3 linked regions of the Oryctolagus cuniculus genome follow. The protein of the gene in region 2 purifies or fractionates together with the protein of the main gene of each other region. This does not show direct contact. Links are inferred from orthologs where the notes say so. Each region holds a gene or a part of one and is shown on either strand. Other genes may lie near its edges.

Region 1 (4,391 bases), on a different chromosome or scaffold from region 2:
AAACCTGAAGTATAAATATAGAGTGTGTGGTGTGACAGAATGCCGCGGCCCCTGCTGGAGCACTGGGTGTGAGTCCTGGCCACACTTCTGACCCCAGCTCCCTGGGAGGCAGCAGGTGACGGCCCAGCTGCACAGGTCCCTGCCACTCCAATGGGAGACCCAGACGGAGTTGCCTGCTCCTGGCTTTGGCCTGGCCTGGCCTTGGCCGTTGTGGGCGTCTGGGGAGTGAACCAGTGGATGGGAGATGTCTCTCTCAGATAGAAAGGAGATAAACATTTAAATACACGTGTAAGTAAACAACATCAAAACAATTCTGAAGCACCACCCAGGACACGGAAACATTCTAGAAGCCCCCACTGACGCCCCCAAATTCTGAGCCCTGAACTCGCAGCGGCTGCACAGTGTTCTCTGTACAACCTCTGCGGCGCAAGGGGACCGGGGCAGGGCGCCCGGCCTCCCCACGCCGTCTCCACAGCTGTCCCCGCGGATGGGAGCACCCACATGTCACCTCCCAGGACTGCAGCCACAAACTCAGGGTGAGTCCACAAGTTTATTGAGGCCTCCTGGGACCGAGGCCCTGCAGGAACAGATGAACACGCCGGGTCCCAGAAGCCCACAGTTTGGGAACCGGTCACAACGACACCAGCACAGCCACTGAGAGCTCGCGGCGGGGAGCCGGAAGGATGCAGAGTCCGACGGGCCAGGGCGCTCACTGCAGGCCGGCCCACTGCAGGGAGGTGTAGACCACCTTGCCGCCGGGCTGTGGGGAGCAGAGCAGCACGGTCTTCCTCACGCTGGTGCCCAGGCGGCCGGCAGAGACCAGGTCCTGCAGGGGGATGGGGTCGTCGGGGGCCCAGCACTGGGCGATGTAGTGCGCGTGGAAACGGAGCGGGTCGCCTGAGGGAGAGAGGCAGGTAGGCGCCGGGCAGCGACACGGCCCCGGCTGCCGTACTTGCACAGGGGGGCGATCGCTCTTATCCTTCCTCGTCGCTATCCGACGCAAACAACCAAATGTGGAGTGGACGGCCTCCCAGCCCCACCCGGGAACCGCCGGTGACGCTGCCGTGGTCTGACCAGGACGTGGCCCCCCAAACTCACGCAGAACCCCAAAGCCCCGGGGCTAATGTGGACCGATGGGGTGCGGCGGAGCCTGCTCCGGCTCCGGTATTTGGAGGCGGGGCTTCGGGCAGCCCCGGGACGGCACCGCGCTGGCACTGTCGGCAGAGCCCCTGGTGGGCGCGTCTCTGCCGCTCGGCTCCCGGTGCCGGTGCCTACATCAACCTCTGACAGCTATTGCTTTGTTTTCTGACTGCTAACTTAGTAATAATCTCTTTGGCTGTTTTCCAACTTTTCTAAAGATATAGTCATTTATTTGAAAGATTTACAGAGAGGGAGAGACAGAGAGGTGTTTCATCCTCTGGTTCACTCCCCAAGTGGCTGGGCCAGGCCAAAGCCAGAACCTAGGAGCTTCCTCCAGGTCTCCCACGTGGGTGCAGGGGCTCAAGCACTTGGCCATCTTCCCCTGCTTTCCCAGGTGCATTAGCAGGGAGCTGGATCGGAAGTGGAGCAGCCGGGACTCGAACCAGCACCCACATGGGAGGCCGGCACCACAGGCGGTGGCTTTACCCACGAGGCCGCGTTGCTGGCCCTGTGTCTCCCGATCTCTAAATGCTGCGGATGATCCTGCAGGGGGCACTCCTGTGCAGCTGTCTACAGATTTCCAAGTGAGCCTTGGGGGTCACAGGAAACATCTCATGAAAGCTACCAAACCACCTCCTAAGTGAACTTGGGGGCTCCCCAGTGGTTCCTGTCCTTCCAAGAGTTTCAAAAGTCGGAAAAATGTGAGGCAAACAGAAATCCCAGCGTCCCGGTTGCAGTCCCGGCTACTCTGTTCGGACCCAGCTCCCTGCTGATGCGCCTGGGGAGGCAGTGGAAGATGGCCCAGTCCCTGGATCCCTGCCACCCACGTGGGAGGCCCGGGTACCCCATGGAGTTCCTGGCCCGGCCCAGCCCTGGCACTTGCAGCCATGCGGGGAATGAACCAATGGATGCATGACCCCTCTATTGCTCTGTCTTTAGAAGAAACCAAAAAAAAAAAAAAAAAGGAAAAAGGCCGACTACGCCGGGACCCGGTGCAGCGGCCGGGGCCCAGCCCAGACTCACCTGGGTAGACCAGGAAGTCGCCGCCGAACTTGCCCGCGGCGCTGAGGAAGAAGCCGCGCTCCCACAGGTCCCTGTAGATGCTGTAGCGCAGCTCGTGGGCAGGCCGGCCGGCGTGCGGCCAGTCCTCGGACTGCACGCGCCAGTCCAGCGGCCTGGCCTTGACCGGTCGCGGCCTGGCGGTGGCCAGCTGGACGAGCAGAGCGGACCTGGGCAAGGGGGCCGCCCCACCGGAAGGCCCTGGCTGGGAAGACGAGGGGGCTGGGGCAGGGGGGTGAGGTTAGGCTCGGTCGCCGGCCCCCACGCTGCACTCCCCGGGGTCAGGCCCGCGCTCACCTGCCTCCTCCTGCTCCCCGGAAGCCTGGCCCTCCTGGGCCTGCCCTGCGGCCGCCTCCCGCGCCCCGCCGGCCCCCGCCTCCTGCTCCAGCTTCTGCTTCTTGGCGGCCTGGCCCTCCGCGATCTTCTCCAGCAGCTCCTGACGCCGGGCCTCCCGGGCCTCCACGGCCAAGGCGCTCTGCTCCTGGAAGCTCTGCTCTTGTTGGCGCTTGAAGGATGCCAGAGCCTGCGGGGCGGACTCAGCTGCAGCCCCGCGCCCAGCGTGCAGCCCGACCCCGAGGTCCCGGGCTCAGACCCCTTACCAGGCCGTGCTGGCGCGGATCCGGGCGCGGGGCGCTGACCAGGGTCACGGCGCCGATCTCGGCCAGCAGCCGCGCCTCTTCGGGCATCAGCAGCAGCGGGAGGCCCAGGCGCGAGTTCTGGCGGGGCCCGCGGGGCAGGGCGCCCACCGTGCGGCCCCCCACGCCCAGGCGCTCGCGCAGCGCCTGCACCGCCTCGGCCCCCCACACCAGGGAGCGCCCGTTCGCCACCTCCACCACCAGCATCCTCCTGCGGGAGCCGAAGGCGAGGCGGTCACTCAAACCGCGCGGCGCCGCCGGCCGCCCGGGGGTCGCGCCGGAGCCCCGCCCCGGCCCCGGAGCCGCCCGCGGGCCTCGGAGGGGCGGGACCTCGCCCTGGCCGCGGCACAGCCTCCGCACCCGGCGGTCGGCGCCTCGCTCGGCGCCGCCACCGCAGGACCCGCCGCCGTGCCTTCGCGCCTCAGACAGAAACCGACGCAGGCGCGGCGCCACGCCCCCTCCGGGGCGGCCACCTTTGGCACCGCCTCCTGCCCGTCAGAGCGCCGCCGAGGCCACGCCCCCTCCCGGAAGCCCGAGCTCGGCCACTCCCCTGGAGCCGCCGGGGTTCGGCTCTCCGTGCTCGAAGCCCCGCCCCCTCCCGAGCGCAGGGCGCTCAGCGTTCGGGAGTTCTCGGGACCTGTCAATCCTGCAGCCTGGGCCCGCCCCCCGCCAGGCTGCCGGGTCGGGGAGTGCCCGCCCCACGACCGAACCCCTAAGCCAGAGGCCCCGCCCCCGCGCACCCGCCGTCCCTCGCGCGGGCGGGGTCAGCTCACTTGCGAGCTGTCCGTCCGCGTCCTTGCTTCCCCTCAGAGTGTCCCGCCGTCCTCCGGTAAAAGCAGCTGGTCTCCTGGTAAACACCAAGTCCCGACCGAGGTGGAGCCGCCCCCTACGCAGCGCGCCTCGCGCGGCTTCCTCCGCCCACCCATGGCGACCCCCCGCGTCAGACTCGTCATTCCGCCACCTCAGCGAGGCGGGAGGCTGGGACCGCCCCGCCCCCGGACCCCTCGGCCCCGCCCAGCCGCAGCCCTCCGGCTCCCCGGTTCTACCCCGTTCCTGCCCCCGGCGCACGCGGCCCTCAGAGCGCCGCCCCCTCGGGGGTCGCTTTCTCCCCGCCCCCCGTGAAAACGAGGTTGGACGCTCAGTCGCAAACGCGGGGCACTTGCACCCGACTACCTCCGAAGGGAGCCGAAGCTCGTGGCCCCGCCCACATCCGGCCGAGCTGGGGACCCCGCCAACATCCGAACCCCGATTAGCGCACTCGGCTACCTCCGAAGTAAGCCGAAGCTCGTGACCCCGCCCACATCCGAACAGCGATTGGCGCACTCGGCTGCCGCCGAAGTAAGCTGAAGCTTGTGGCCCCACCTCGAAGCGGTGAGCTCAAACCTCCGACGCGGACCGAGGGAACCCGAAGCGAGGCTCCGCCTCCTTCCGAGCGCCGAGCTCCAGACCCCGCCTCCTTCCCGGGCCCGTCCCCTCCTCCCGCGGAGCCCGAAGCCCCGCCCCCTCACGTACTCGCGGCCCGCGGGCCGCGCTCGGCAGATGCGGACCCGGGTGCCC
Region 2 (4,531 bases):
AAGCCAGCTCTCTGCTCCCCAGCCTTCACTGAGTGGCTGTTTGCAGAACGGAACTATCTGGAACAGTGACAGTCGTGCGTGTGAAGCTATGCCATGCACGCGTGACGCAGCATTTCCTTATCGCTCGGCGCTGCGGACTTAAATGCCGCTTCTCTGGGGTTGTTTTAAAACCGTCCAGCAGGGGGCCAGCAGCATCTACTGAGTGAGTTAAAGACGCAAGATGTCCATCCAAGATGCGGGGGTGCGGAGACCACGCACTACACGGTCCTGTCCGCTTCGGGGAAAACCTGAAAAATGATGAGAAAAGGTTATTTACAAATGTACGGTGAGGGGCGAGCCTGGTGGCACAGCCGGGCCGGCAGCTGCTTGGTTACCCCTGCACCCACCTTGGAGGGGCTGGCGCTGGTCCCACCTCGGCTTGCGATCCGGCTTCCTGCTAACGCACCCCGGGAGGCAGCAGCGATGGCCCAGTGCCGAGCCTCACGTGGGAGGCCCAGATGGTGTTCCCAGCTCCTGGCTCAGCCTGGCCCGGCCCTGGCTATGGTGGGATTCGGGGAGCGAACCAGCGCGTGGAAGATTCTACTTCTCTTTGTCCCGGTGCCTTCCAAATACCTCTTTTAAGTTTAAAACACTGATTGTACGTCGAGGAGAAAATCTTGGGGAAGAATCTCTTGTTCAGTGGCTTTGCTCCCAACCCTCCGGGTGGACAGGGCTCCAGGTGACGTCACCTGAAATCCCATAACCAGTGAATCCCAAATCCCGAAACGACGGGTGCCAGGCCGGGAGGCGGAGACCCCGGCTGTGGTCTCGGCCTCTCGTCGGACCTGCAACTCACAGCCCCCCTGGGACCAAGGGAGGTGGCGGCGACACCTCAGAATTCCCGGGCTGTGGTTCAGCCGGGGCGCACAGGTGTCTGCGGGGGCCCGACAGGTGCGCCCGGGGCCGCGCTGCACACAGAGAAAGCAGGGGCCGCCTTCAGGGCCGGCCTCAGAGGGTCCTTTCCCCCAGGTCTGGTGGCCTCAAGGGTCCCGTGCCTCCGGGGGGCGAGGACTCTAGGTCTCAGCTCCATGACCTGTAACGGTGTCACTGGGTGACACTGGACAGGCGACTGCGCGCCTCGTCTGTGAAATGGGTTTGTGAGGGGGAGTGAAAGGAGCGTAGCATCTGTACAGAGGGGTTGTCCGTGTCATCTCGGGCCAGAATTCGCGCCGCCCGGGTTAGAGAGCACGCGAGGAGGCGAGCCAGGTGCACAAGGGCCCCGCCTACAGGCCTGCGCAGGCGCACTCCGCCAACAGCCGAGGGGCGCGCCCGTGAGCTCTGCGGCTGCGCAGTCGGCTAGCTTTGCGGCCGTGCCGCTTTACGGCAGCGGTGTTGGCGCCCCGACCGGCGTTGCCGAGGTTACGGCGAGCGCGTGGAGCCGAGACAGGTAAGGAGGCCGGGCTGGGAGCGAGCGGGATGGAGGCTCGGTCAGCGGGGCGAGGGGGAGGCGCCCGAGGCCGGACCGGCGAGGGCCGGGTAGGGGCCAGGCTTCCGCGTGCTGCCGGGCGCCGAGTCCTCCGCCCGTTGCTGCGGACGCCGACGCCTCGTCCGGCGCTGGCACTGCCCCGTGCGCCCGGCCGTCGGCCTGAGGGGAGCCGCGGCCGCTGGAGGGTCGGGGCGGGGGCCTCCCCGAGGAAGGAGGGGGCCGAGGAATGCGGCTGGCCAGCGCCCGGCCGCGGCCCGCGCGTGCGTGTGTCCGCCCGCGGTGCTCGGGCTGCGGCTGCTGCGCGCCGCGCAGGTGTGTCTGCTTCGCCCGTCCTCCTCGCCGTCCGCGGGTGGAGCGTCCAGCGTGCTTTTCCCTGGGGAGGCTGCGCGGCTAGGCGCCCCGTTGTTCCCCGGAGGGGAGAGTAAGGAGCAGGCCTGGCTTGTTGTTGTAAGGTTGATTTATTTGACAGGCAGAGCGGCCGAGCCCAGCTGGCGGCAGCGTTCGGGCCAGGTCTGAGCCAGGCCAAAGCCAGGAGCCGGGAATCCGTCCTGGTCTCGCGCACGGGGCGGGCAGGGGCCCAAGCACTGGAACCATCACCAGTGACTCCCACCCCGGGCACACTCGCAGGAAGCCGTGTCAGAAGCAGAGCAGCCAGGACTCGAACCCGGGGCTCCGACGGGAGGCGTGGCTCAAGCAGCTGTTGAACCGCTGGTACCGCGTTGCCAGCCTTCACCCTTGCCCACCGTGCACACACGAACACCACTCCCAGGCTGGTTTCTTCATCTGTTCACTTCTCCGCCAGAGAACCTGCAGTGGGGGCTGGCGTTATGGCTGAGAGGGCCAAGCCGCCGGTCGTGACCCTGGCACGCCATACGTACTGGAGTGCCAGTTCAAGTCCCAGCTGCTCCGCGTCAGGGTCAGGCAGAGGGTGGCCTGGACGCCGGGCGCCCTGCCACCCATGGGGGAGACCAGCGTGGAGTTCCTGGATCCTGGCTTCCGCCTTGGCCCAGACCTGGCTGTTGCAGCCATTTGGGAATGGATGGAAGATCTCTCTCATCTCCTGCCTTCTCTCTCTCTCTGCTTTTCAAATAAATAGATCTTTAAAAAGAAAAGACACTGCAGTGGTGTCAAGTCGAAGCCAGTGTTTGCACCGAGAGCCCTGACTGCTGAGCCAGTCCTGCCTGTGGGTTTAGTGGGCGCGGGTAGTGTTCCTGGTGGGGCTGGGCCCGCCCACCTCGCAGGCCCCTGCTGGCCGCACGGAGCTCTGTTTCCAGGCAGTGAGGCCGTGGGCAGGTGACTTGCCCTCTGTGCACCTGTGTGTGCCAAGCGAGTCTAGTTTTTCCCACTGGCACCCCGCGCCTACCTGTGGTGGTACAGGCTCTGGTTTCTCGCTCCCCCCACCGGTTGCGTCGGCACTGAACACTGCGGGTAAGGGGGCGGCCAGTGCAGTCCTGCCTCTGCTTTGTCCGCCGGCCCAGTGCAGGACACCTGCTCTGTGAAGCCGGGGACGACCCCGCTCCCCTGCGGATGCTGTGTTCCCTGGAGAGCTTGCTTTCCGCCCTTTGAGGAACCTCACGGTGGCGGCCGTGATGCTGCCTGAGGTGCAGCTTTACGGAGACGCACAGCTCCCACAACCCACCCTTCTGAAACGTGCGGGCCAGAGTCACCGCACTGTACCTAACGCGGGCATGTCTTTACTCCACAGGCCTGTATCTGCTGGCAGTCACCCTCCCGGGTCCCCCTGTCTCTCTGTCCCAGCAGCTCCTGGCCTGTCTGCCCCTATGGACTTGCGTGGGATTCGTGGTCTCCCAGGGGGCTTCTCCCACTTAGCTCAGTGCTTCCAAGGGGGGTCAGAACGGCGTTGCTTTCTTTGGTGAATACGATTCCGTCGTGCCGATGGACCCCGTTTTGTTGCCCAGTCATCTCTTTCTTGATGGACGTTCGCATTGCTTGGTTTCTCCTGGGCTCCTATGAATAATAACGCTTCCTGTGCAGATCTCTCCGGGAGCCTGTCTGCCCTTTTCCCCGATCTGTACTTGGGAGTGGTGTGGCTGGGTTACATGGTAACCATTGGATGACTGGACAGGGAACTGGCAGGCGGCGCTCTAGTCCTGTTGAACTTCACCTGTTGAAGGTGAAGAAACGGCTGAGAGGGGTGTGCAGGGTGACACGCTAACGCAGCCTGTGTGTATGGAACCGCCTTGCTCCTGCCGTCACGAGGCCACAAGTGTCTCCAGACTTGGGTTGTAAAGTGATGGCAATATTTTGAGGCAGGGACCCTTCTGTTGCATACGTGGGTTGGAACACAGTCGTCCCTTGACACCCATGGGGATGGGTTCCAGGACCCCCCGTGGGTGGTGAAGCCTGAATGTTCAGTCCCGTCTCTGAAAAGCTGTAGAATTTGCAGAAAACCTACACGCGTGCCCCTGTGTACTTTGTTTTTTTGTTCAAAGATTTATTTATTTATCTGAAAAGTGGAGTTTCAGAGAGAGGGAAAGGCAGAGAGCTTCCGTCTGCTGGCTCATTCCCCAAATGGCCCCAGTGGCTGAGTCTGGGCCAGGCCAAAGCCTGCAGCCTGGATCTTCATGCAGGTCTCCCACGTGGGTGCAGGGACCCACGCGCTTGGGTTATCTTCCACTGCTGACCCAGGTGCACTAGCAGGGAGCTGGATCAGAAGTGCAGCAGCCAAGACTCGAACCAGCACCCTTATGGGATCCTGGATGTCAGCGTCACAGGCTGCAACTTAACCTGCTGTGGCCCAATGCCAGCCCTCTCCTGTGTATTTTAAATCCTCTTGGGTTACATAGAATATCTAATATGAGAGTCCACCAAAAAGTTTGTGAAAAAGTGGATTTCAAGATAGGAATAAAGGGGGCCGGTGCTGTGACATAGCAGGTAGAGCCGCTGCCTGCAGTGCCACCATCCCAGATGGGTGCCAGTTTGAGACTCCGCTGCCCCACTCCCACCCAGCTCTCTGCTATGGCCTAGGGAAACAGAAGATGGCCTCAGTGCTTGGTTGGTGGGATGCACAGATGGGAGCCCACAGGCATGGAGAACTCAAGTGTG
Region 3 (4,241 bases), on a different chromosome or scaffold from region 2:
CACCAGCATCTCTTGTCCACGGGTTTGAATCCCGGCTGCTTCGCTTCTGAACTGTCGGTTAGCCAAGACCAAAACCCGCGCTCACCTGTTGTGGCTGAGGGAGGCTGTGACGGGCGTGGGCACAATGGTCTGCAAGCCCTCCCCTTCTATCTCCGTGCCGACCAGGCAGATGAGCTGCAGCTCTGGCAGTCCCACGCAGTTCACTTCATGCCAACTTTTACCTGGAAGAGCCGCGTCGAACGGGCAAGACCGCTTATCAAAAGCCAAAGTAAAGGCTCCGAACTTCTATGTGGCAATGTCACCCTTACCCCGGCCTCTTCTCTACTCGTCTAGCGTTTCTGTTACTCAATAATTCCCAACGTAAAAAGATAAGGAAGCTGCAAAACTGCTTGACAAAACTAGCAGCAAATGCATGAGCGACTGCTCACCGTAACGTCAGCGCGGAGATCCCAACCCAGCGCCCGACCCCAGCACGGCCCCAGTCCACACAGAGGTGGGCGGCTTACTCTCCATGAGGTCCAGGAAAACCAAGAACGCTGCGTACACTTGCGTGGCATCTCCCGCATCCAACTCCATCATCTCCAAATACTGGAAATCAAAATGGGGGCGTCAGACGCGGAAGGGAGGCTCGGGTGCCCCTCCAGTGGGCGCGTGTCACTGCACGTGTGCTATCTGCACAGAAGGTAGAGGGCGACGCAGGATGGCATCTGCCTCCGGAGGGTCTGCAGCTGTCAGAACACACAAACTGGGCAAAAACGACCTGTGACCGCGATGGGATGAGACCACACACGGAGCTCCCCTCGGGGTGTGGCCGGTGAGTGACAGAACGGGCCCAAGGCCCTGCCCTTAGAACAAGCAACGCAGAGCCACAGCGAGCAGTCGACAAGGTGAGGGTGAGCCACACGCGTCCGAGACCCGCAGCAGCAGCCGTGGGCTGTCCCGGGGTCTCGTGGGGGCCTGTCACCTGCATGGGGAGACACTGCCGGAACGCCACGCCCCCTCCTCCCCACGCCCGGGAGGTGTCACCGAAGCGGACAAACCAGCTGCAGGGGGAACGCGTCTCCGAGGGGACGCCGAGGCCGCGCGTCCCCGGGCGAGCAGGGCTCGCGCAGGGCGAGCTCCGCGAGGGCGGCTGGGAAGACGGGTGTCAGCGCACAGGTGCAGATCAGGGCTGCCATGCAACCGCAGGCGGGGCCACGCCAGAGGTCCGGATCCTCCGCGCGACGGGGCGCCGAGGGGCTGTGAGCCGGACGGCAGGGGAGTGGTGCCTGCGGGGGCCGCCCTGCCACCACGCTCCACGGACGGACCTAAGTCACTGGCAAACCGAGCCACACAAAGGCAGAGCCGGAAATCAGATACCCACTGGTGTTTATTTCTCCCCGACTGCAGAGTGCGTCCGCTCCGAAGCTTGCTGTCCAGGTCTACAGAGCGCAGGTCTGCACACGGACCCGCACTGCACCCGGCCGGGCCTCTTCACAACCGACTGAGCGGACTCAGTGAGAAAAGTGCTGGGCAGGAAACGCTAAGTCCCTCAGTTCTCTGCGGAACTCGGCCTCCACGCTCAGTCTATCACGGCCTGCACTGGAGGCTGAGCCTGGGGCTGGCTCTGTGCACACCGCAGGAAGCCACGACCACGGGCCACCAGGCCACTGACCACCGGCCAAGTGGCCGGCATCCTGCAGCCCCAGCCACTGCACTCATCCGGGGAGTGAACGGTGGAGGGTCGGGTCTCCCTCTCCCTCTCTCTAACTCTTCCAAATAAACGGTAAAGTCTCTAAAGACAGAGTTACAGAGAGAGGGGTCTTCCATCCGCTGGTTCACTCCTCCAATGGCTGCAACAGCCAGAGCTGTGCCCATCTGAAGCCAGGAGCTTCTTCCCGGTCTCCCACGCGGGTGCAGGGCCCAAGCCCCTGGGCCATCCTCCACTGCTTTCCCAGGCCACAGCAGAGAGCAGCCGGGACTCGAACCGGCGCCCATATGGGAGGCCAGGGCTTTAACCGGCTGCGCCACAGCGCCGGCCCCAGTCTTAAGAAACGTAAAAGAGCGAGCTGAGTGACCAGCACGGCCACTCCCCGCGGCAGACGCCTGACCAACAGCCACCGACCTAAGCCGGAGGAGCCCCACGCGGTGCGCGCCGTGGTCACCCCGTTTCTCAGGGGGAGACCCCCAACACCGCGCCGCCCTGGGTGCGGGGGAGAGGGGGAGGGGGCGAGGGCGGGGGAGGGGGCGAGGGCGAGGGCGGGGGGCGGGGGCGGGACTCGGCACACGGGGCAACCGGCCCTCCCGACCTCGCGGGCCCATCGCCACCCGCACGGCTCCCCGGCCGCGTCCCCGCCCACGCGACACCCCGCACGGCTCCCCGGCCGCGTCCCCGCCCACGCGACACCCCGCACGGCTCCCCGGCCGCGTCCCCGCCCACGCGACACCCCGCATGGCTCCCGGCCGCGTCCCCGCCCACGCGACACCCCGCACGGCTCACCGGCCGCGTCCCCGCCCACGCGACACCCCGCATGGCTCCCGGCCGCGTCCCCGCCCACGCGACACCCCGCACGGCTCACCGGCCGCGTCCCCGCCCACGCGCCACCCCGCACGGCTCCCGGCCGCGTCTCCGCCCACGCGTGAGAGGAGCCCGCGCCCGGCCCCTCACCTTGGGGTGGCTGCCGATCCAGGCGTCCTCGGGGGCCCACGGGCGAGCGCCGCCGTCGCCGCCGCGCTCCGCCATGGCGCGCCGCGCTGCACCGACCCGCGCGCCTGGCTCCGCCTCCCGGCTGCGCACGTGCGGCCCGCGGCTGGGGCCGCGCGCCGGGCTCCGCCTCCAGTGCACGCGGATCGGCGTCCGGCCGGGAGCACGGGCCTCGCGCCTGGGTTCCGCTGCCCCCGCAGCCCGCCCGGACCGGAAGTCGCAGACGCCTCCCGGCGTCGCCGCGTTTCCTCAGAGCCGGGCCGAGTCCCGCGTGAGGCGGCCGCCGCGGCGCTCAGAGCCCGCGTCCGGGGATGCGGGGAGCGGATGAGGGGCCGCGTCCCCAGGAGCGGGGAAGCGGCCTGAGGAGAGGGCGGTCGCCGGCCCGGCGCCGCTGCGGGGTGCAGCGCGGGAGCCTGGGAGGAAGGGGCCGCGGGGCGGGCGGCTCGGAACCCAGAGGCCCAGGCCGGACCCAGGCCGGACGGGACGTCTCCTTCCGGACTCGGCAGGCCCTGGGCACGAGGCCCAGCAGGAAGCCGCCAGAACTCCCGGGCATAGTGCGCCGGGCCACCGCCTAGGGGTGCGGGAAGCGAGCGGGACGACGGGGGGCGCACGCCTGCCCAGGAGAGCCCCAGCTCGCGGGCCAGAGCCGCCGGAGTGCGCGTGGGAAAGTGGAGCAGGATACACGCTGGGGGAAGGAGTGCCAACCCCGGGCCTCCCACGGAGAGTCACGGGACACGGACGCCGGGGGGAGCAGCAGGGCCACCCCTGAGCCTCCCCACGGAGAGTCACGGGACACGGACGCCGGGGGGAGCAGCAGGGCCACCCCTGAGCCTCCCCACGGAGAGTCACGGGACACGGACGCCGGGGGGAGCAGCAGGGCCACCCCTGAGCCTCCCCACGGAGAGTCACGGGACACGGACGCCGGGGGGAGCAGCAGGGCCACCCCTGAGCCTCCCCACGCGGAGTCACGGGACACGGACGCCGGGGGGAGCAGCAGGGCCACCCCTGAGCCTCCCACGGAGAGTCACGGGACACGGACGCCGGGGGGAGCAGCAGGGCCACCCCTGAGCCTCCCACGGAGAGTCACGGGACACGGACGCCGGGGGGAGCAGCAGGGCCACCCCTGAGCCTCCCACGGAGAGTCACGGGACACGGACGCCGGGGGGAGCAGCAGGGCCACCCCTGAGCCTCCCACATGGAATCACGGGACACGGACGCCGGGGGGAGCAGCAGGGCCACCCCTGAGCCTCCCACGGAAAGTCACAGGGAACAAGTGTCCCACACCCAGGAGCGCGCACCTCTGATGGACCCTGCACCACCCATCGCAGTCACAAGAAACGCACGCTGGAGGGAGCAGGAGCCCATGTCCCGCAGCTCACACGTCTGATGGACCTTGAGTGCCCTGTGCGAAACACAGGAAAGGGACGCTGAAGGGACCAGGTGGTCCCCAGCGAGGAGGGTGGAGAGCCCCACTGGACAGCCCCACACCTCCCGCCCTGAATCACAGCATGGCTGCAGATGAAGATCTGAGCTGAGACCAGAGCTGCCCCCAAGGAGC

Evidence for each region.
Region 1: the proteins of TSEN2 (region 2) and TSEN34 purify together in Homo sapiens (affinity purification with mass spectrometry; 3 studies listed by BioGRID and IntAct, counting the BioPlex papers as one, with this or other methods). This does not show direct contact. The link is inferred for Oryctolagus cuniculus from reciprocal best matches to the Homo sapiens genes TSEN2 and TSEN34.
Region 3: the proteins of TSEN2 (region 2) and TSEN15 purify together in Homo sapiens (affinity purification with mass spectrometry; 4 studies listed by BioGRID and IntAct, counting the BioPlex papers as one, with this or other methods). This does not show direct contact. The link is inferred for Oryctolagus cuniculus from reciprocal best matches to the Homo sapiens genes TSEN2 and TSEN15.

Annotation. Positions count from the first base shown.
Region 1 is NC_091449.1:4,517,857-4,522,247, forward strand, and holds TSEN34 (tRNA-splicing endonuclease subunit Sen34), read right to left. Parts: upstream 3,042-4,391; coding exon 2,799-3,041; intron 2,723-2,798; coding exon 2,497-2,722; intron 2,422-2,496; coding exon 2,164-2,421; intron 898-2,163; coding exon 710-897; downstream 1-709. UniProt on the Homo sapiens protein: Constitutes one of the two catalytic subunit of the tRNA-splicing endonuclease complex, a complex responsible for identification and cleavage of the splice sites in pre-tRNA. It cleaves pre-tRNA at the 5'- and 3'-splice sites to release the intron.
Region 2 is NC_091441.1:114,767,796-114,772,326, reverse strand, and holds the start of TSEN2 (tRNA-splicing endonuclease subunit Sen2), read left to right. Parts: upstream 1-1,560; 5' UTR 1,561-1,691; coding exon 1,692-1,777; intron 1,778-4,531.
Region 3 is NC_091444.1:1,816,383-1,820,623, reverse strand, and holds the start of TSEN15 (tRNA-splicing endonuclease subunit Sen15), read right to left. Parts: upstream 2,803-4,241; 5' UTR 2,723-2,802; coding exon 2,648-2,722; intron 2,178-2,647; exon of another isoform or gene 1,364-2,177; intron 589-1,363; coding exon 507-588; intron 222-506; coding exon 86-221; intron 1-85. UniProt on the Homo sapiens protein: Non-catalytic subunit of the tRNA-splicing endonuclease complex, a complex responsible for identification and cleavage of the splice sites in pre-tRNA. It cleaves pre-tRNA at the 5' and 3' splice sites to release the intron.